Caenorhabditis elegans: one gene and its partner. The protein of the gene in region 2 interacts with the protein of the main gene of each other region in a pairwise test. Each region holds a gene or a part of one and is shown on either strand. Other genes may lie near its edges.

The links.
Region 1: the proteins of Y47G6A.14 (region 2) and mrpl-12 interact in a two-hybrid assay, tested with the Caenorhabditis elegans proteins (2 studies listed by BioGRID).

Annotation. Positions count from the first base shown.
Region 1 is NC_003281.10:10,705,863-10,709,065, reverse strand, and holds mrpl-12 (Mitochondrial Ribosomal Protein, Large), read right to left. Parts: upstream 1,306-3,203; 5' UTR 1,300-1,305; coding exon 1,230-1,299; intron 1,182-1,229; coding exon 981-1,181; intron 923-980; coding exon 672-922; 3' UTR 545-671; downstream 1-544. Other genes in the region: W09D10.5 (N-acetylgalactosaminide beta-1,3-galactosyltransferase), read left to right, coding at 98-372, 416-453; Y39A1A.22 (Xenotropic and polytropic retrovirus receptor 1 homolog), read left to right, coding at 2,526-3,161; Y39A1A.21 (ATP synthase subunit C lysine N-methyltransferase), read left to right, coding at 2,263-2,496.
Region 2 is NC_003279.8:3,462,145-3,470,331, forward strand, and holds Y47G6A.14 (RING-type domain-containing protein), read right to left. Parts: upstream 6,044-8,187; 5' UTR 5,978-6,043; intron 5,437-5,977; coding exon of another isoform or gene 5,364-5,436; intron 5,322-5,363; coding exon of another isoform or gene 5,159-5,321; intron 5,110-5,158; coding exon of another isoform or gene 4,990-5,109; exon of another isoform or gene 4,988-4,989; intron 4,159-4,987; 5' UTR 4,145-4,158; coding exon 4,093-4,144; intron 4,042-4,092; coding exon 3,914-4,041; intron 3,866-3,913; coding exon 3,820-3,865; intron 3,777-3,819; coding exon 3,680-3,776; intron 3,635-3,679; coding exon 3,565-3,634; intron 3,508-3,564; coding exon 3,409-3,507; intron 3,355-3,408; coding exon 3,229-3,354; intron 2,715-3,228; coding exon 2,562-2,714; intron 2,160-2,561; coding exon 2,038-2,159; intron 1,697-2,037; coding exon 1,522-1,696; intron 892-1,521; coding exon 766-891; intron 720-765; coding exon 627-719; intron 351-626; coding exon 231-350; 3' UTR 126-230; downstream 1-125. Other genes in the region: AFG3-like protein spg-7, read left to right, coding at 4,990-5,109, 5,159-5,321, 5,364-5,436, 7,142-7,340, 7,398-7,522.

The DNA of each region.
Region 1 (3,203 bases), on a different chromosome or scaffold from region 2:
CCGAAAGTTTTTGAAGACTAAAAAATCGAAAATCAGAGAATTACTTCTGGAAAACTCCCGAATAAATTCTAAAAATGTTTGATTTCATGATTTTCAGAGGATTTTTCTTCTCGCGAGCCTCGGATTTCGCTCTCTACGACTGCAGCGAGAAGTACGGTGTCCAGATAGCTGATCCATTTGATGAAGATGCTCTCCGACTATTCAACGATCTTCCACCAAAACAAATAATTGCGCCAGACTCGAAATTGTTCCGTTCAAGTCCCACAAAAGCCGGAAAATGTTCCGACCACGCGATCTCGTTCGGCCAATTATCCGAAAAGGATATGCGAGTTCTTCAATTCGGAATGTCGCTGAAAGTATTCGGACGCGGAGGTTTGTACCCATACAGGCTTCCGGTAATTTTCCCAAATTGCAGGTCTTGACACTTCTTCAAATGAGACTACCGATTTTTGATCTTCTCCAGCAGCTTCTCCAGAATCTATCCAATAGTATTTCTATCATGGGACGTGTATTTCTCTTCTTGCCGGGTGTAAATTTAATTATTTTTGAAATTAATTATTTTTCCATAAAATAAAATAAAACTTAACAAAAAGAAATGCTACACTATCTACGAAAAATTTGAAGAAAATGAGAACACAACAAATGAAAAGAGGGAAATATAGAACAAAAAATTAAACAATTTCAATGGTAGCTCCAGCCTTCTCCAGAATAGCCTTCAACTCATCGGCTTCTGCCTTTCCAAGATCCTCCTTAACATTTACCGGTGCGGTTTCCACAAACTTCTTGGCCTGAACGAGATTGAGGCCTGGAATGGCGTTACGGATCTCCTTGATGATTGCGATCTTCTTGGTATCATCGAATTTCGTTAATTTCACAGTGAATGTCATTTTTTGTGGAACGTCTGATGCGGCTTCCGCTTCGGCTGAAAAATAATGAAAATAAATAAATAATTTTATTAAACTATAATAAATAATGTTTACCCTGAGCGGCTGGAGCAGCAGCGGCAGCAGCCATCAATGGTTGATCTGGAATGTTGAGCCGCTTCTTGAGAGCCCAGTTAAGATCGGAGACGTCGAGCAGGCTGAGATTCGCGATTTCTTCAACCAACGAGCTGACTTTTGCGGAGATTGCTCTGTCTTCTGATGGCAATGGTGCCGGGCTTCCCTCGTTTAATGGAAGACCTGAAAATTTTGATATGATTTTGAGGAAAATCTTAATTTTCAGATTACCTGCGGCCTGGGAGTACTTCGCGCTGCTTCTGAGCACCTTGGAGATCGGTCGGAGTGTTCTGGACAACATATTTACCTGGAAGTTGAAAGGTAATTTAGTTTTTAATCGGAATAAGAGAGAAATATAAGTTTGAAGAAACTTTTGTTTATGTAATATATTTTTAGCTAAAAAATTAACAAATCGATACCCGAAAAACCTAATTTTAAAATAAAAATCATAAAGAAACGCAAAAAATTAGCGAAAATTGAGGAAAATTAAAAGTTTTGCAATGTTTACCGACTTAACATCTTCTTTACAAGATCTTTAACAATCTTCAATAGAAAAACTCTAAGAAACCACGAAAAATTAGCAAAACTGAAATTCCAAAATTGCATATCTTTATAAAGTAAACCCCCTTTTTAAAAAACGAATTTTAACCTGGGTTTTGGTGATTTTCAACGTCGGAACCATGCAAATTACGACAATTTTATATAAAAATTCAGAAATTTGGTTGGAAAATACGGTGGGAAACGCAAAAAATTAATAAAAATCGCACAGAAATTGCAGAAAATAAATCCGACCCATCCGAAAACGCGCCAGTAGCCACTCGTTTGCGCAATCATCAACTGCTTGCGCACTTCCGGTGCACTGAGCTCCCGATTTTTAGTCGCATGTGCCCTTATCGAATTTCGTTGTCTATCTCTTTTTCGCGAAAAGTACGAATTTAAATTTTGATTCTGTCGAGTGCAATTTATGCGTAAATCGATATATTTCCAGTGTTTTGCACTGTTTTAGGCCTGAAAATCGTTTTAAACATTTTTTTTCTGTTTTCAGGTAGAAAATTTGAATCGTTGATGAGAAACTTCATCTTATTCCGAAGAAAATCGATTGAAGAATAAAGGTGGGTATGAATTTTAATTTTAAATATTCAAAAACAATAATCCTTTGAAAAATAAAGATAATTTAAACTTAAAAATAATAAATTTTAAAACAAATAAAAAATCATGATTTAAATCAATGAGTGTTCCCCTCGAGATTGTGTTTTTTTGCAGTATGGGCATGAACACAGGTCTGGTGATTGCCGGTGTGGCTGGCGCAACGGCGCTCGCCATCTCGGCGGCCGCAATTCCGTTCGTGGCGCCCGCTCTGCGACGCGTCTGCATTCCGTACGTCCCAGCAACGACGGAGCAGCTCGCGAACGTCTCCCGCGCACTTTCACTCGCCACGAGCAGCAACAGCAACAAGAAGGGAACGCTCATTGATTTAGGCTCCGGCGATGGCCGTGTTGTAAGTTATTCCCATTTTCCCGATTTTAGATGAAGTTCGGCGAGCAACTAGCGAGCCACTTGACGCCCGAGTGGCGGAAACAATACATTGACTATGAGCGGCTCAAAAATCTATTATACGATGATATGATGGAGGTTCCCGCCGACGATGACCGCCGAGAAGAGCACATTTCCCGGCTCGACGAGAAATTTTTCAACGAGTGCGACCAAGAGCTCACCAAGATCAACCTATTCTTCTCGCAAAAAATCGCTGAAGGACAGGGAAAACATCACGAGCTTCAAACCGAACTACAAGTGTTCAAGGATGTTCTTGGGTCTCGCAGCGATACCACAGGGATCCGTAGAAGGTTCGGAGGAAAAGACAAATTCCATAAGGAGACCACACGGAATGAGCAGCAGCTGAAACTCGCATTCTCCGAGTTTTATCTTTCTCTGGTGCTGGTTCAGAACTTTCAGCAATTGAATGCTACCGGATTTCGGAAGATTTTAAAGAAACACGACAAGCTCACTGGCAACGAACGAGGACTCGACTGGCGGATTAATAAAGTGGAAAAATCGTCGTTTTTCTTGAATCGAGAAATTGAAACTCTGATCACAAATGTGGAAACCAGTGTAATTAATGATTTGGAGGCTGGAAATCGACAAGCTGGAATGAAGAGGCTTAAGGTTCGAAATTTCGCTGAAAAAATTGGAAAATTGATTATTTTA
Region 2 (8,187 bases):
TATCAAGATCCGGTCATAAAAGTCTGTAAAATATTTTGTTTCCGATCAAGGGTGCTGGCGAATATCCCGCTATCGCTCGTCTCTGCAGTTGCCATTGCCAGGAAAATCCATGATTGAAATGTTCTCAACTTTTTAATTTATTCAAGTTGTTATACAGACCGAAAAATTCGAAAACTCATTTAAATATAAAATTCATAGCTTTAAAACTTGAGCATTTCTCAGTCGGATAATTATGCGTCGCTAGTAGTTCCAAACTCATTCTCCACTGCGTCGAGGCGTTTCTGCTGCATTCTGACGACAGTCTGGCTCATATCAGCATTCGATTGGAGAGAAGAAATTGCGTGGTCCGCCTGAAAATGGTAAATTTTCTTATAATCTTTCTTTACTTTTCCGAACAAATTTTCGATTTTTCGGTTTTTTTTTTTTGTTGAGCAAAACCGAAAAAAAATCTGAAAAAACTTCAAAATCGGAATTTCTCATCAAGAATGCAATATTTTTTATTACGGTTTACGCGTATTTCATACAAAAAAACAGAAATTGCACTTTTTTGAGCAAATTTGACCGCAAAATTTTTCACTTTTCGGTTTTTCAAAAAATCGAAAACCCCGGCAGGCTTGTTTCCGAACCTTCTCCAACTCGTTCTGAAATCCCTTGACAACCTCCGCTTGTTCCGGATGTCCACGACTTTCCATTGCGATTTTCGACATCTTGGTGATTTTCTGAACATTTTTAAATATTTCAGATAATTATTTAATTGAAACCCACGTCATCATATCCTTCCAACTGTGTGATATAATGTTTGAAGGTGTCAAGAAGAGCCGAAAATTTGATATTAATCTCATCTTTATGCTTTTCAACTTTCGAGAAAACCTTGAGCGAGGTGTAGGCTTCCTGAAAAAAAAGATTAATTATTTCTCTTATTATGGGAACATTTAATTCTGAGAATGCGTATTGTACAACATATTTGACGCGCAAAATATCTCGAAGCAAAAACTACAGTAATTCTTTAAAAGACTACTGTAGTGTTGATTTACGGGCTCGATTTTCGAATCAATTTTCTGTTCGAAGTGTGCTTTAATAAATGATTTCCGTAAATCGATACAAACGCTACAGTAGTAATTTAAAGAATTACTGTAGTTTTCGCTTCGAGATATTTTGCGCGTCAAATATGCTGTATTATCAGAATTTTGTGTTCTCGTAATAAAGGCTGGTTCACAAAATTACCCAAAATTACCGAATTTTTCTTTTTCTTTATAAATTATGTCGGTTTTAAAAATTGGGAAAATACATTTTTTCTTGCTAAAACCTCAAATTTTGAAAGCTTTACAAAGTCAGAACTTGCAGAAGTCAGTTTTCATTTATTTATCACATTTTACTACACATTTTGGTCGATTTTTGTGCATTGCGACCGAAAATGTAAGAAATTGTGATAATTAAATAAAAATTTACTTCTGCAAGTTCTGAAAATACGCGTTTTTTGAGAAATTTTTGGTCTTTTTAGGTGTAAAATTAAGTTTTTACCTGAACTTGAGAATATCTGACAGTCTTGTGCTCGCCGTCAGAATGATGATGATCGACGATACAATTCGTGCAAATCGGCAGAGTTTCAAGGTCAACTGCGTCGATTTCAGTTGTTTCGAGAAGATTGTCAACGAGTTTTCCGACGACTTCAATGCATGTTTTGCAGCAGCGGAATCTGTATGGAAAAAATATTGATTTTTTTTTTGATTTTGCAGAAAAGTTAATTATTTTTGAACTCCCGCGCAAATTTTCTCGGAAATTGGCCAAAAACTCGATTTTTTGCGGAAAAAATGTCTGAAAAAATAGAAAATCTTTTTTTGCTGCAAATAAAAAATATACATACAATTTCAGGCTGAAAATTTCAGTTTTTTGAGTTTTATTGTGAATATTTTTTAGAAATTAAAAAAAAACAGTCAATTAAATTGAAAATAACGAAAAATGCTCAGCAGACGCTCCAAATATTTCAATTTTCTGTGAAAATCGGCTCCAAAATATCCAAAAAATGAGTTAAAGAACCTTTCGACGGTCTGCTTGGTCATACACTCGCTGCACGTGAGCTCAAAAATTTTCTCGACGGGCTCTTGGCATTTCGTCTCCTCGTCCTTTTTGTTGATGGCCACGAGAGCAGTGAATGATTTCTGAAATTTAATTTATTACTCAGTCGCGAAATTTTGCGCGAAACTACGGTATCAGGTCTCAACACGAAAGATTTTTGTTGAAGGCGAGAAGGTGTGCGCCTTTAAAGAGTACTGTAATTTTTGTAAATTTTGAATAAATTGACAAAAAAAGTATGGGAAAAACATCGATTTTTCATCGTTTTTCTGTCGAAAAAAAATTCCAAAAAGTGAAATTACAGGAATTTTTTTCGACAGAAAAACGAAGAAAAATCGATGTTTTTCCCATACTTTTTCTGTCAATTTGTTCAAAATTCACAAAAATTACAGTACTATTTAAAGGCGCACACCATTTCGAATCCAGCAAAAATCTTTCGTTTCGAGACCCAAAACCGTATTTTTGACGCAAAAATGACGATTTTTTACTTGATATTCCTTGTCCTTATTGGCAATTTCCAAGCACACAGACTGTACATAATCTGACATTCTTTTGATTTCCTGATCAATTCTCTTGGAAAACTCCTCTTGGACATCACTAGACTTGCTTTTTCTCATCATATCCGTCATCTTGTCGAGCTCCTGGAATTATTTGATTATTGATTGAAAAAATAATATGGAGACGCAGAAAAATGCGCCTTAAAATTTAAAAATCAACGTGGAAATGTGCTCCGCCTCCAAATTATCGGTCTCGTTAGGTATACATGGCGGCAAAACTGGAAAATTCAAAAAATTCGAATTTCAATTGTTTTATGTCGAAATTGATGAAAAAATTGTTTTTAAATGCATTTTTAACGTCATTTTTCCGTAAAAATCACGAAAAGCAACAGAAAACTTCTTCAAAGATTTTGTCACCAAATATTTTCAAAAATCAAAATTTTTCGATTTTTTTAAACGATTTTTCGTGTTCCGAGGAAAAAAAATTGAATTTTCACTAATTTCCGAAGAAAAATTAGTTTTTTAAATCGAAATCCACTTTTTTTTTTGATAAATTCATAGTATTCTTCCATTTTTTCTCCTAGATTATCTCTGAAAATATCCGAAAAATCGAAATTTTGACCGCGCACATCGATTTCAAATATCAAATCAAAATCACCGTGTGGAATGTCTTATATGTCGATGCAAACCGAGCATACCACGCATTGGTGAGCCCAAACGACGATTCGAGCTCAATTCTCAGAAGAGAAATACTTGTAAGCTGGCTTGCGAAGTTCATTCCGGACTGAAAATTTACAATTTTAAGTCTTTTCTTTACAAATAAATTTTTTAAATATACCGCAACCGGGAAATAAGCCACAGTCTCGTGGCCCTGTGTGACATGAGATCGCAGTGCACAACTTCCACAAAGCGCCAACGATTTGATATCCAAATCCACCTTAAAAAATCATTTTTCAATTTTTTTTTTTTTTTTGAAATTGGATATTTTCCGGACCTCGGCACCCAAATTCTCCACGACGTCGTATTTGAAGGCATCAGTGACGCAATTGCGGCAGACGAACATGCTGGAAATTGAATTTTTTTGTTATTTCTAATTAAAAGAGGCCTACTCCGATTCGTTGTCGTATTTGGTGCATTGAGTGCAGTCCACTGCATTTGCAGGCTTCTTTGGCTTCTCACGAAGCTTTTGGATCATGGTCACAGCATCTGAAAAATAGTTTTTTTCGGGAAATATGAATATTTTTAAAACTTGTCAATGCAAAGTTTTTTGTTCGCTTCTCCTTGCTAACCACGGCCTGAAATTATTTTATTTTTAAACAGATATCAATATATTTAAGCCATACGCGGCATGTCGGGCATTGTGTCTGGCCACCAGATCCATATGCGTCAGAATAATCGCTTTTCAAGTGCACAATGCAAGTTTCGCATAGAGAATGGCCACAAGATATGATGAATGGAGCCTTTTGATCATCTGAAAATAAAAATGTGCTTGTTTTACAATAAAAATTGGGATATTTTTCACCAAATTCTTCCTGGCACACAGGGCAAGTCGGGAGTTCTTCATTAACATCCATTTTTCTCGAAAATTCTGAAAAATAAAGTTTTTTAAATTAGAAAAATCAATATTTTTAAATTTTCGTTATTTTTAATCGTCGAATAATTGAAATTTTCGTTTAAAATTAAGGAAAAACAATTTATACAATTTATATCCGGAAAAATTAATGTTTTTGCAAATATTTGAGTTTCAAGCGTTTTCGCTTCAAGTCTCAAGGAGGATAATGTGCTTGCGCCTTTAAAAACTACAGTAAGACCTTTGTTTATTTCGTCATCGAATTTCAATGTTTTGAATCAAATTTCCCGTGATTCCGGTTTGATTTTCACAATTTTATTATGTTTTTACACTATTTAATGAATTTTAATTCAGTATATAATAAAATCCATAGATTATCCACACTGAAAATCTACCAATACCGTCAGTTTCTCAAAAAAAAAACATTTGCCCAAAAAATGCCTGTTTTCCATGGAAATTCACATTGATTTTTAATTTCACAACGTTTTTTTTGCCAATTTCTTTCCAAAATTTCTCAAAGTACTTTCGCAAACTAATCGTTCACTTTTGCGTCATGGCTCTGTGCACTGGAAACTAATTTCAAACGACGCGCGCATTGTCTTGTGCGATGGAGCGCGCTTGCTATTTTCTAAAAAGTGCTCAGTATTTTTGAAGCTTTATGGTTTTTCCTTGTATTTTGCATAATTTTAAACATTTTTCTCGAGAAAAAATATTCGAAAAAGTAGAAAACGGCTGAAATTTGGTTGTTTTTAATTTTTTCCCTCGTTCCTCAATCTTAAAATCGAAGATTTCGTCATCTCTCACTGTTTGCGCAGTGCATGATTATGATAATTAAATTCTATTGCAGAAATGTGGCGATTATACCGAAAAACGCCGAAGCAGCTGAGAAATTCGGTCGAATCATGCTTCAAATCTGTCAATTCCCGCCAATTTTCAGTCAGCTCATTTTCAGCAGTAGCCAAAGATGATGTAATATTACCGCCTGCCAGTATACTGAAAATTCTGAATTTTTTTGCAGAAATCCGTGCTAAAACAACAAGAAGTTCTGCATCTTCTCGCAAAAGATCAGCGATTTGAAGAGCGATTCTTCAATCAAGTACAGCAGACAATTCGATATTTCGCCTCGAAACCAAATGATTTGAAAAAGTTCTTCAGGAAGGAAGCATCGACGGATAATAAAGGTTTTCAGAGGGAAATTATCATTAATTCGAAGTTTTTTCCAGAATCTTCATCATCTTCTGACAAAAAGGACAGCAAAGGAAATAAGGGAGAGGATAATAATCCGTTTAATCAATTGTGAGGAGGAATAGACACAAAAATCGGCTAATTTTGGCTAAAATCTGAAATTTCGCCCAAATTATCATCATTTAGATGCTTTTCACCACGTTATTTTGTTTATTGAAGTCTCGGAGAAGCCCCGGAAATCATTTCTAGTCGAATTTCTTTGGAGTATTTCAAAAAATTGACTTTTACAGGTTTCCCGGGCCGTATTTTGAACTTTTTGGCAAAAATTGTCCCAAAGATCCGGAAAAAACTTGTAAAATCCAATATTTTTAAAATAAATTGGTGATTTTAGCTAAAATTAGCAGTTTTTTTAAAAAGTTTTATTGGCAGAGCAAAAACCGTGCCAGAGTTGCAAAAATTGGCGTTTTTAGCATTTTCTCCATTTTTCCAGATTTTCAAAAATCGAAAATTCGGGATTTCGGAATCATTTCAATAAAATTCAAAATTTAATGAAATCACGAATTTTCCAAATCGTTGAAAAAAAATTCCGAGAAAAAAAAAACAAAAAAACGCCCATTTTTGCAATTCTGGCACGGTTTTTTGCTCCGCCCACGATGTTTTTGAGCGGGGCACCACGTTTTCAAGATCTACGAGAAGAAGATCTACGTTTTCAGGATCTGGCACCGTGCCAAGTGCAGTTTTCGCAGTTTTCTCGAAGAAAATCGAAATAACGATGCTCCGATATTACGCATCGCGAGTTGTTTAGCGTTTTTCAGAAGTTTTTATTCAAAAAAGGTTTTTCTGACTAAACAACGTGCGATGCGTAATATCGGAGCATCGTTGCTTTTTCTTCGAGTAGACTGCGAAAACCGCAGTTGGCATGGTGCCAGATCCTGAAAATGTAGACCTCCTTTTCGTAGATCTCGTTTCCGGCTAGATCTTGAAAACGTGGTGCCTCTTTTGAGCACATTTACCTTTTCTAAGATTTAAAAGTGGGGTACCGAAATCTGGAAAATATTTTCAAATGTCTCCAAATTTTCTTCTCATTCCAAATATCGATGTGAAAAAAATCAAAACAATTTTCTAGATTTTATATGATTTTTTGAAAATAGGAAAAATCACAGTTTTCACCTAATTATTTTTGAATTTCCGCCAATTGGATTTGTTCGGTGGAGCGTGCTTGCAGTATTTTTATCAATTAATTTTTTTAAATTCTTGTTCTTTGACTGATTTTCTTCATTTTCTATGTTTTCTCCTCGGAAAATGGAAGAAATAAACAAGACAAATGCAAAATTCTTGTTAAAAAGTAATTGAAAATGAGTAAAACTGTGAAATATACTAATTTCAGGCTTGTTGCCGTCGGAACTCAGAATATCACAGTTTTACTCATTTTCAATTACTTTTTAACAAAAATGTTGCATTTGTCTTTTTTATTTCTTCCATTTTCCGAGGAAAAAACATAGAAAATGAAGAAAATCAGTCAAATAACGAGAATAAATAAAATTAATAAATAAAAATAATGCAAGTGCGCTCCACCGAACAAATTCAATTGGCGGAAATTCAAAAATAATTAGGTGAAAACTGTGATTTTTCCAATTTTCAAAAAATCATATAAAATCTGGAAAATTTTTTTGAATTTTAATATCATGATATTCGGTCAATGTGACCCCATAGGCGCGTTTTAAAGCAATTTACCCACTGAGCGTAGTCCACCTTTAAAAAAACGGAGAAAACCTCTAAAACCCCTTAAAATCAATCTAATTCCTCCAATTTTCAGCCCAGGAGGATGGCAACAAATTGCCGTTTCAGTTGGAATTCTGCTCGCTCTCTACGCCTTTATGGATTATCAGTCGTATCGTGAAATTTCCTGGAAGGAGTTTTACAGTGATTTCCTGGAAGCTGGACTTGTCGAGAGACTTGAAGTAGTTGATAAGCGATGGGTTCGAATTGTTAGCTCGTCTGGAAAGTATGCAGGAGTTAGTTTTTTAGTTTTTGCACTGAAATTCGTGAAAAAATGAATTTTTTTCTTTCAGCAAACGTGCTATTTCAACATCGGAAGTGTGGATAGCTTCGAACGGAGCCTCGGAGCTGCTCAGCATCATCTCCAGTATGATGCTGATCGACAAATTCCGGTTTTATATAAATCTGAATTCAATTTGTAAGGATTTCTGCAAAAATCACTCCATTTCAAGAAAAATTAGAGAAAAAAAGAAAAAACCCCCGATTTTCTTAAAGAAAAAGCTCTGGGAAATGGGAAAAGTTATAATTTTTGCATGAAAATTCAGAAAAACTTTTAATTTTTCACATTTTTTGTAGTTAAAATTTTGTTTTTAAAGTGAAAACCTTCAGAAAGTCACTGAAAATGAAAATTTTGCACAAAAATTATGGAAAAAGTTGCTTTTTGCTCGTTTTTTGCACTAAAATTTCAAAAAAAAAATCCGATTTTTCTGATTTTTTGCCTGAAAATTTCAAAAACAAAAATTAATTTTGCTGGTTTTTTGCAGAAAAATTTTTAAAAAAACGCAGTTAGGCTGTTTTTTGCCTAAAAATTCGAGAAAATCTCAATTTTGCTGAATTTTTGCACTAAAAGTCTTTTAAAAAATCCGATGTTTCTGATTTTTTGCCAAAAAATTCAAAAAAAAAAATTTTGCTGATTTGTTGCACTAAAATTCCAAAAAAAACTCAATTTAGCCAATTTTTTGCACTAAAATTCCAAAAAAATCCGATTTTTCTGATTTTTTTGCACTAAAATTTCAACAAATATCAATTTTGCTGAATTTTTGCAGAAAAAATTTAAAAAATCGCAGTTAGGCTGTGTTTTGC